2 linked regions of the Elephas maximus indicus genome follow. The protein of the gene in region 2 interacts with the protein of the main gene of each other region in a pairwise test. Links are inferred from orthologs where the notes say so. Each region holds a gene or a part of one and is shown on either strand. Other genes may lie near its edges.

Evidence for each region.
Region 1: the proteins of MYBPC3 (region 2) and myosin-7 interact in a two-hybrid assay, tested with the Homo sapiens proteins (2 studies listed by IntAct). The link is inferred for Elephas maximus indicus from reciprocal best matches to the Homo sapiens genes MYBPC3 and MYH7.

Annotation. Positions count from the first base shown.
Region 1 is NC_064828.1:34,792,805-34,796,622, forward strand, and holds the start of myosin-7, read right to left. Parts: upstream 2,955-3,818; 5' UTR 2,914-2,954; intron 1,492-2,913; 5' UTR 1,437-1,491; intron 273-1,436; 5' UTR 265-272; coding exon 64-264; intron 1-63. UniProt on the Homo sapiens protein: Myosins are actin-based motor molecules with ATPase activity essential for muscle contraction. Forms regular bipolar thick filaments that, together with actin thin filaments, constitute the fundamental contractile unit of skeletal and cardiac muscle.
Region 2 is NC_064825.1:102,748,169-102,751,768, forward strand, and holds the start of MYBPC3 (myosin-binding protein C, cardiac-type), read right to left. Parts: upstream 2,305-3,600; 5' UTR 2,287-2,304; coding exon 2,262-2,286; intron 1,116-2,261; coding exon 849-1,115; intron 1-848. UniProt on the Homo sapiens protein: Thick filament-associated protein located in the crossbridge region of vertebrate striated muscle a bands. In vitro it binds MHC, F-actin and native thin filaments, and modifies the activity of actin-activated myosin ATPase.

The sequences.
Region 1 (3,818 bases), on a different chromosome or scaffold from region 2:
TCTTTGTCCACCCCGAGAGTGGGGGTGTCCAGGATGGCCTCTCACACCAGCCCTACCACCCACCTTGCCACGCTCGGTCTCGGCAGTGATTTTGCCACCCTCACGAGACACAATCGTGGCTTTGACAAACTCCTCTTTGTCATCAGGCACATAAACGTCCTTCTTGAGGTCAAAAGGCCTGGTTTGGTCTGCGAGCCGCTCCTTCTCTGACTTGCGCAGGAAGGGGGCGGCAGCCCCAAATACGGCCATCTCCGCATCCACCATGGCTAGACCTGCAGTGTACGAGAGAAGAAGACAGATGCCCTGCTATTTGTCTGCTCTCCTCTTCCGTTCCCTGGACTCTCCCCTTCAGTGCAAGCCCCACAACCTAGCACAATGCTCAGGAGTCAGGAGGGGTCACTGGCGAGCCCCTTGTTCTTTGGGCTTGTATTTTAACCAAAAGAATGGCCTAGTAGTCCTGTCAGGGTAGAAGGACAGCTACCTTTTGTTCACATTGGGGCTCTCCTAGGGGAGGGAAGAGTTCCCTGGGTTTCTTATGGGGGTAGGAATCTGACTATATTCTCTCTTTGACCTTCATCTTTCCCTGACTCCCCCTCCCTAGTCACAGGTAAGGAGCTCCTAGTAGTCAAGACATTCTCCCCTCAAGGCACAACAACTGGTCTCTATTCACCTGGAGATACAGAGGAAGGAGAGTCAGGAATAGGAGGAGGATATGGAATGTGTGGCTAATTGTCTCCATGAACTGCCTCCTTTGCCATGAGACCATAAGAACTGGATGGTGCCCAGCTACCATTATGGAACATTTTGATTAAAGATTCCGTAGAAGAATACTGATCAAAGGGGGAAAATGCAGAACAGAATTTCAAGTTCTCATGGACTCCAGACTCCCCGGAGCCATGGAGGGTAGATAAACCCCTGAAACTATTGCCCTGAGATAATCTTTAAACCTTAAAACCAGAATACCCCCTGAAGTCTTCTTAAAACCAAACAATAATTTAGCTTAACTAGTAAAAAAGAAAAGGTCTGCCTTGAGCATTATGCTCTTTTAAGAACTATCTATATGGGATCAAATTGACAACAGCAATTTGAAAGATTAGACAGGAAGCTTAGGGGGAAGTGAGTTTATGTTAATGGGGGAGGAACAACTCAGGAAAGGAGGGTAAGAATGGTTGCACAACTTGAAGAATGTAATCAGTGTCACTAAACCCTACACACAGAAACTGCCGAATTGGTGTATGCTTTGTTGTGCATATTCCCAACAACAATAAAGTAAATACAATTAAAAAAAGGAATACGTAAAGAGTTCTGGCAAATCAACAACAATAAAAAGACATTCTCCCTAAGGCAGGGCCAAAACTAAAATTCCATAACCTGGCTTTGAGGCTTTCATGCCAATCTCCCCAGATTCTCCCATCCCCATCTTCAGCAATTCTTACCTTGGCTTCTCAGATATGTTTAGAGATGAAGAAAGGGGCCCAGACCTGCAGGGACCTGGAGAAAAGGAAGGCAGTGTCAGTAGGCTACAGCCCGACCTTGCCAATGCCATCTCTCTGCGTCTCCTTGGCTCTGGCCTTCAGCACCCACTCCTTCCCCTCAGTCCTGAAAACAGACTGAGATTGGTGGTCAGCTTCTCTGGTCCCATCTGCTTTCTGAACACTATTCCCCAAGTACTAGTTCTAACAGTTTCCTGGTGTCAACTCAACTCTGAGCCCTAACTCTCTTTATTCGTGGGAGACAGCCCCACCCTTGCCTATACCCATTTAGTAATACTTTGAGCCACCTGAGAAGCAGCTAATGGCCATATTTGTTCACTGCTTTATTGTCTACAAAGCACTGTCATGCACATTCTCTTACTGAACCATCAGCCCATTCTACATATGAGGAAATCAAGGTTAAGTGAGTTGCGTGTCCAAGAACTCTTAGCAATAAGTGGTATAGCAAGGACTTGAGTCTAAGTCTCATAACTCCAAAGCCAGCTCTTTTCTATCATGTCTCCAGTTTATTGTCAGACAATGTTGACATTCTCAGAGAGGAGACACTGTGGGCATCATCTCACAGACACATCCATCACACAGTCAAATACTCTTCACATGTCCTCTCGTGAATGCACATGTCACTACTCACCCACACATCCCACACAAAGATACACTTACTTCCTGATACCTCTGCACACACAAGTCCCAACCAGCTTGCCATATTGGCCTCAAAAACAGATGTGCACATTTAAATATGAGTACATAGACTCACATTGCTGTATATTCTCGAGTATACGAAGACTTGGGACATGCATACTGCTGTGTGTGTGAGCTGCTTCTGCAGGATGTGCACACCCTGCAACAGCCACCACCCCTAGATGCACACACAAACACCTCCACATGCCTGGACATGGGTATTTATATATTCCAGACCTCCACAGAACTAGCATTTAACATACATGCTTCCTGTATGATCTTTCTTGGACATCCTCTTCCTCCTCCCCCCAAGTGAACCTGCTTATCCTCAGACATGATCATAAACACACATCTCCCACTTGATATTTCTGTATCTTAGGCAGACAGCTCCAGTGCTTACAGGTACGTACCCTTCATCACATTCAGAACATTTATGCATACACACACACACACACACACACACACACACAGACACACCATACCTCTAACACATTAACACATCCTGGTCCCTTATGCTCCAATACAAACATCTTCCACTGTAACACGCGAGCCCCCACATTCCTGTGGCACATATATGTGTGTGTAGACCTGAACATGTATGCTCAATGACCAGGTACTCTGCGTGAAGCCCTAGGAGCTGATCCCATCTTTGCTACACATTGCTTGCTGTTCCTAGAAGATCCTCTTCCTAAACCTGGAGCCACCTTATCCCAGAAGAAGGCCTCCAACTCCCCGCTCCTACCTGAGAGCAGCAAGGAGAGAGAGACACACAGAGAATAGGAGAGAAGGCTGTGGGGCCAGACTAGGTCTCAGGGCCTGTATATATGGGGCAGCAGGGCGCCTCCACCCCCACCTGCACCCAGTGCCTAGCCAGATTTAGAAAGGGCTGTTGTCACTAGAAGCATTTCCCCCAGGCTCCCCCCCTTTCCCAAACAGTGCTCCCCCCTCCCCCCCCAAGCTAGGAAACAATTGGAAGTGGTCGTCATTGTTATGGCATGGAGTGTGCAGGGTCTGAGTTCCAGGGGGCGGGGTGGCTCAAAGTGCAACAAAAATATCTCCTAGGCCAGGCCTCACATTCCACAGCTGGCAGGAGAGGGAACTGACCAGGACCACCATGAACTCAGGGCAGGCACGGACCTGGCCCTTCAGTAGGGCTATCCTGGCCCCTGATGCTGCTGCCCCTCAGGTTCCCCCCGCCCCCCAGTGCTGGCTTGGCCTCACTTCCACGGTGTCCTCCCTGCTTCCCTAGTCTGGTTCCTGCACCCACCGTGAGATAGGAGGGGGCTAGCTGTCAGCAACAGAGAAGGTAGGGCAGGGTTGGGGGCATGGCCCCAGGGTGGGGGGCTAGGCTGGGGCAGCTGGAAGGAGACTTCCCAGCTGAGAGGCCAGAACAACAATCAGGGAGCTTAGAAATGTGGACTCTGGCTCCAGTACCAATTTCCTTGGATCAGCAGGGTAATGTGTTGAGGTCACCGAGTCTCCGAGCCAGACAAGCAGGGTACTCGTATGCTTACTTGCGTTTACTTACTAACTTTTAGTGAACAATTTCACACGGGTTTCACCACTGAAACCCATATGAATTTGTTCACTACATATTAGTAGGCAGACACAAGTAAGCCCGTGCACATCTTGCTCACTGTAAGCCTG
Region 2 (3,600 bases):
TCTGTAAATGCAAGGACTCCCTTCCTCCATCTCTCCTGAGCCTCAGACCCACCACCCATCGCCTGCCAGGCACCTCCCTCAGATGAAGGTGCCCAAAACTCAATTTCTCCTCTTCCCGCCATATTTGGTCCTCCTCACTCCCCCTAAAGAGCCCTGGTGGTGCAAAGGTTAAGCACTTGGCTGCTAACTACAAGGTCAGCGTTTCAAACCCACCCAGCAGCTCCGTAGGAGAAAGACATGAAGATATGCTTCTGTAAAAATTACAGCTTAGAAAATCCTATGGGGCAGCTCTACTCTGTTACATGGAGCACTATGAGTTGAAATTGACTTGATGGCTCCTAGTAACAGCAAATAAACAACAACTGCTCCCCCTTTCCTCTCATGGGAAGCTCATACTGAGCCAGGATCCCTCGTCACACATCTCCTCACCCTGACAGACACTGTCCTCACCTCCCTGTGGGTCTGCTCTGCACAGCTCTGGGTTCTATCCCTCCTCTCCTTCCCCAGGCTGGGCTGGGGCCTCCTTCTACACCTACAACTCCCGGTCATCCCCTGCCAAGACACACAGCTCTCCCAATTGTCATCCATGTGAGGTCATCTCCCCAGTGGGTCTCCCAGAAGGTTGGGGCACTTATTGTCTCTGTATTTTCCCTGCCCCCACAATGGAGCAGGCCGGGGAGGGCACATGGGACCCTCCCAGGAGTCTTGCTGCAGAAAATGGGGAAGGGCCTTCCTGGCAGAAGGCACAGCCAAAGCAAAGGCAAGAACGTGAGACAGCACCTTCTTTTCCCAGGGCAGATGGAGAGGTGGCCGGGCTGCCCCTCACGAACAGCTGACCAGGGTCTTACCTGCCTCTATGACTTTGAGGTCAAACTTGACCTTGGAGGAGCCAGCGATGACTGCATAGGACCCCTGGTCGGCGGGGCCTGCGTCCTGCACTGTCAGCGTGTGTCGCCTGCCCTCGGCTGCCAGGCTGTACTTGTCGCTGGTGCTGATGTCACTGCCTCCCCGCTGCCAGCGCACCTTCACTCCTGGCCGCTCTGTCTCTGCCTCGAATATGGCAGAGCTGCCCGCGGCCACCTCCGCTGACCGTGGCTTCTTGCTGAAGGCTGAAACTGAGGGGCCAGACCAAGGCTACAGGGCCCCCCAGGCTCACCCGTGCACCTGCCCCTGCAGCCCCTCTTGTCAACATTGTGACAAGTACTTCAAGCATTGCCTCATTTAATGCTCCAGCAGCTCTACTAAGTAGATTCAGTTATGTCCATTTTGCAGATGCAGACACTGGGGCTCAGAAAGGCTAAGTGACTTGCCCAAGATCACACAGCCAGTAGGTGGGAGAGCTGCATGTGTCCCCTGGATACCCCGCCTTCCCTGCTTGGGGCCACTGGGCATAAGCCTGGCCTCCCCCGCCACACTAATATGGGGCCCTTGGCAGGGGGCAGGTATTCTGTCTACTTGGAATGTGGCTAAATTTATCCTTCAAGGGCCTCAGGCTCAGAATCAGCAACTGAGATAAAGCTAGCCTGAGAAGTGGCTGGGGGTGGGGTCAGGATTCAGCCCTGGGCGACCTTGGTGAGGCACAGGCCAGGACCAGGACCCTGGGCTGTGACTTTCTCTGCCCTTGGCCTGGGCTCTGGGGCCTCTTGACCATCCTATCCCAGAGCAGAGGGGCTGCAGTGCCCTCAACGTGGGGGCCATGCCTGGTATGGGGCACACAGGGGTGCAGATCGTGAAGCAGGCAATCTCAGAGCTGGTAGGATTCTTAGGGACACTGGGTCCAAGCCCTCCTTGTACAGATGGGGAAACTGAGACCCAGAGAGGGTAGAGACTTATCCAAGGGCATTCGATGAGCCTGGCTCAAGTCTGGACTAAACTTGGGCTCTGCCTGCAGCGGTCTTTTCCCAAAAGGCAAGCCCAGGCCCAACTTTGCTGCAGAAGGAGGAGGGCAGGGGCAGGAAGGGGTCTTTCTGGGTCCTGGGAGTGGGATGATAGCCCTGGGGTTTCCTGCCTCAATTCTGTCATCTCTCTGTGTTCCCGACCCTGGGTTTACCCCTTATTCTCAGCAGAGGGATGAGGAAAGAGAACCTGAGCATCAAAAAGGGACCCAGGAGGATCCTCCCCTCTGTCCTGGGGCTCAGAGGCCTCGTCCTCACCGACCCCTCAGGAACTAGCTCCTTCGTCTGCTCCCCAAGTGTGGCGCCCCCCACCAAGCACTCCCTACCCCTACACTAAAGCCCTTTTGACCCCAAACCTGGAGTTACCTGTTTTTTTCCCGGGCTCTGGCATCTTGAGAGAAGTCACACCAGGCACCAAGCAGGTACAGTCTGAAGGACTGAGCAGGGATCAGCCCCCCGCGCTATATAAGGGTCCCTCCCCCTCACCAGACCCTCCTTATCTGCCTCCTGCCCAGCCACTGGCTAAATATAGACAAATTCCAGGGAGCTGAGGTCTCTCTATGGGGAAAAGGTGAGGGCCACATTGTTCCTGGCTGGTCCCTGTTCCTTTCCCCCTACCCCAATGCAACCTCAGAGGTACCCCAAACCCTGTCTGTGTGTCTGTCTAACAGGTAAACTGTGCGGTGGAAGAGTGCAGGGCCTTATTCTTGAGCACAATGGTTCAAATGCATCCTTTGCCAGGCATCTTCCTGGGCAGTGAGGGGCAGTAAGGGACCATGAAGGGCCATGAGGGGCAGTGAGGAGCTGTGAAGGGCCGTGAGAGACAGTGAGGGGCCATGAGGGGTAGTAAGGGGCCATGCAGGGTCATGAGGGGCAGCAAGGGGCCGTGTGGGGCCATGAGGGGCCATGTGTGGCCATGAGGGGCTGTGAGGGGCAGTAAGGGGCCGCACAGGGTCATGAGAGGAAGCGAGGGGCTGTGCAGGGTGGTGTGGGGCAGTGAGGGGCCATGAGGGACAATGCAGGAGCTGTTGGGGGACCGTGAGAGGCCATAGTCACGTACACAGACCCTGAGGCAGCGGGGCTGCCCCTGAGTCCTGGCTCTGCCATTCACTGAACTTTGCAGAGCCTCAGTTTCCTCATCTGTCAAGAAGGGCTAGTGAGAACACCACCCACAGCATAGGGTTGTTACACGTGTTTACAAATAGGAATGCTTAGAGCCATGCCTGGTATATAAAAAAAAAAAAAAAATTTTTTTTTTTTTTTTTTTATATAAGGAATGCTAAATGAATGTTTCTGTTATTATTTGGCCCATATTATCACACCTCACGGGGCCTGGGTGGCTTCAGGCTGTAGAACCTTGGGTTGGCCTATTCCACAGCCAGGTGCGGAGGGGGCAACATTGGGGGCTGGTGTTACCCAAGGGAAGGGTTGGGTGAGCCTGCAGTGAGGGCATCAGAGTGAATATCTAAATCCACCACACAGAGGAGAGGTAGCTCTTGCAAAAGTCCCAGGGATTAATGCCAGATGTCTTGAATTCCCTTGTGCTCCTCCACTGTTCCTCTGTGACCTTTTGCCCTCATGATAGTACCTCCCCCAGTTTGTCACCTCAAGGACATCAGTTGCTACACAGAAAGAAGCAAATCCCATGTGACCCACTCCCAGCCAGGCCCAGTAACGGTCAACATCATTGGTCCCGCAGGGAGGA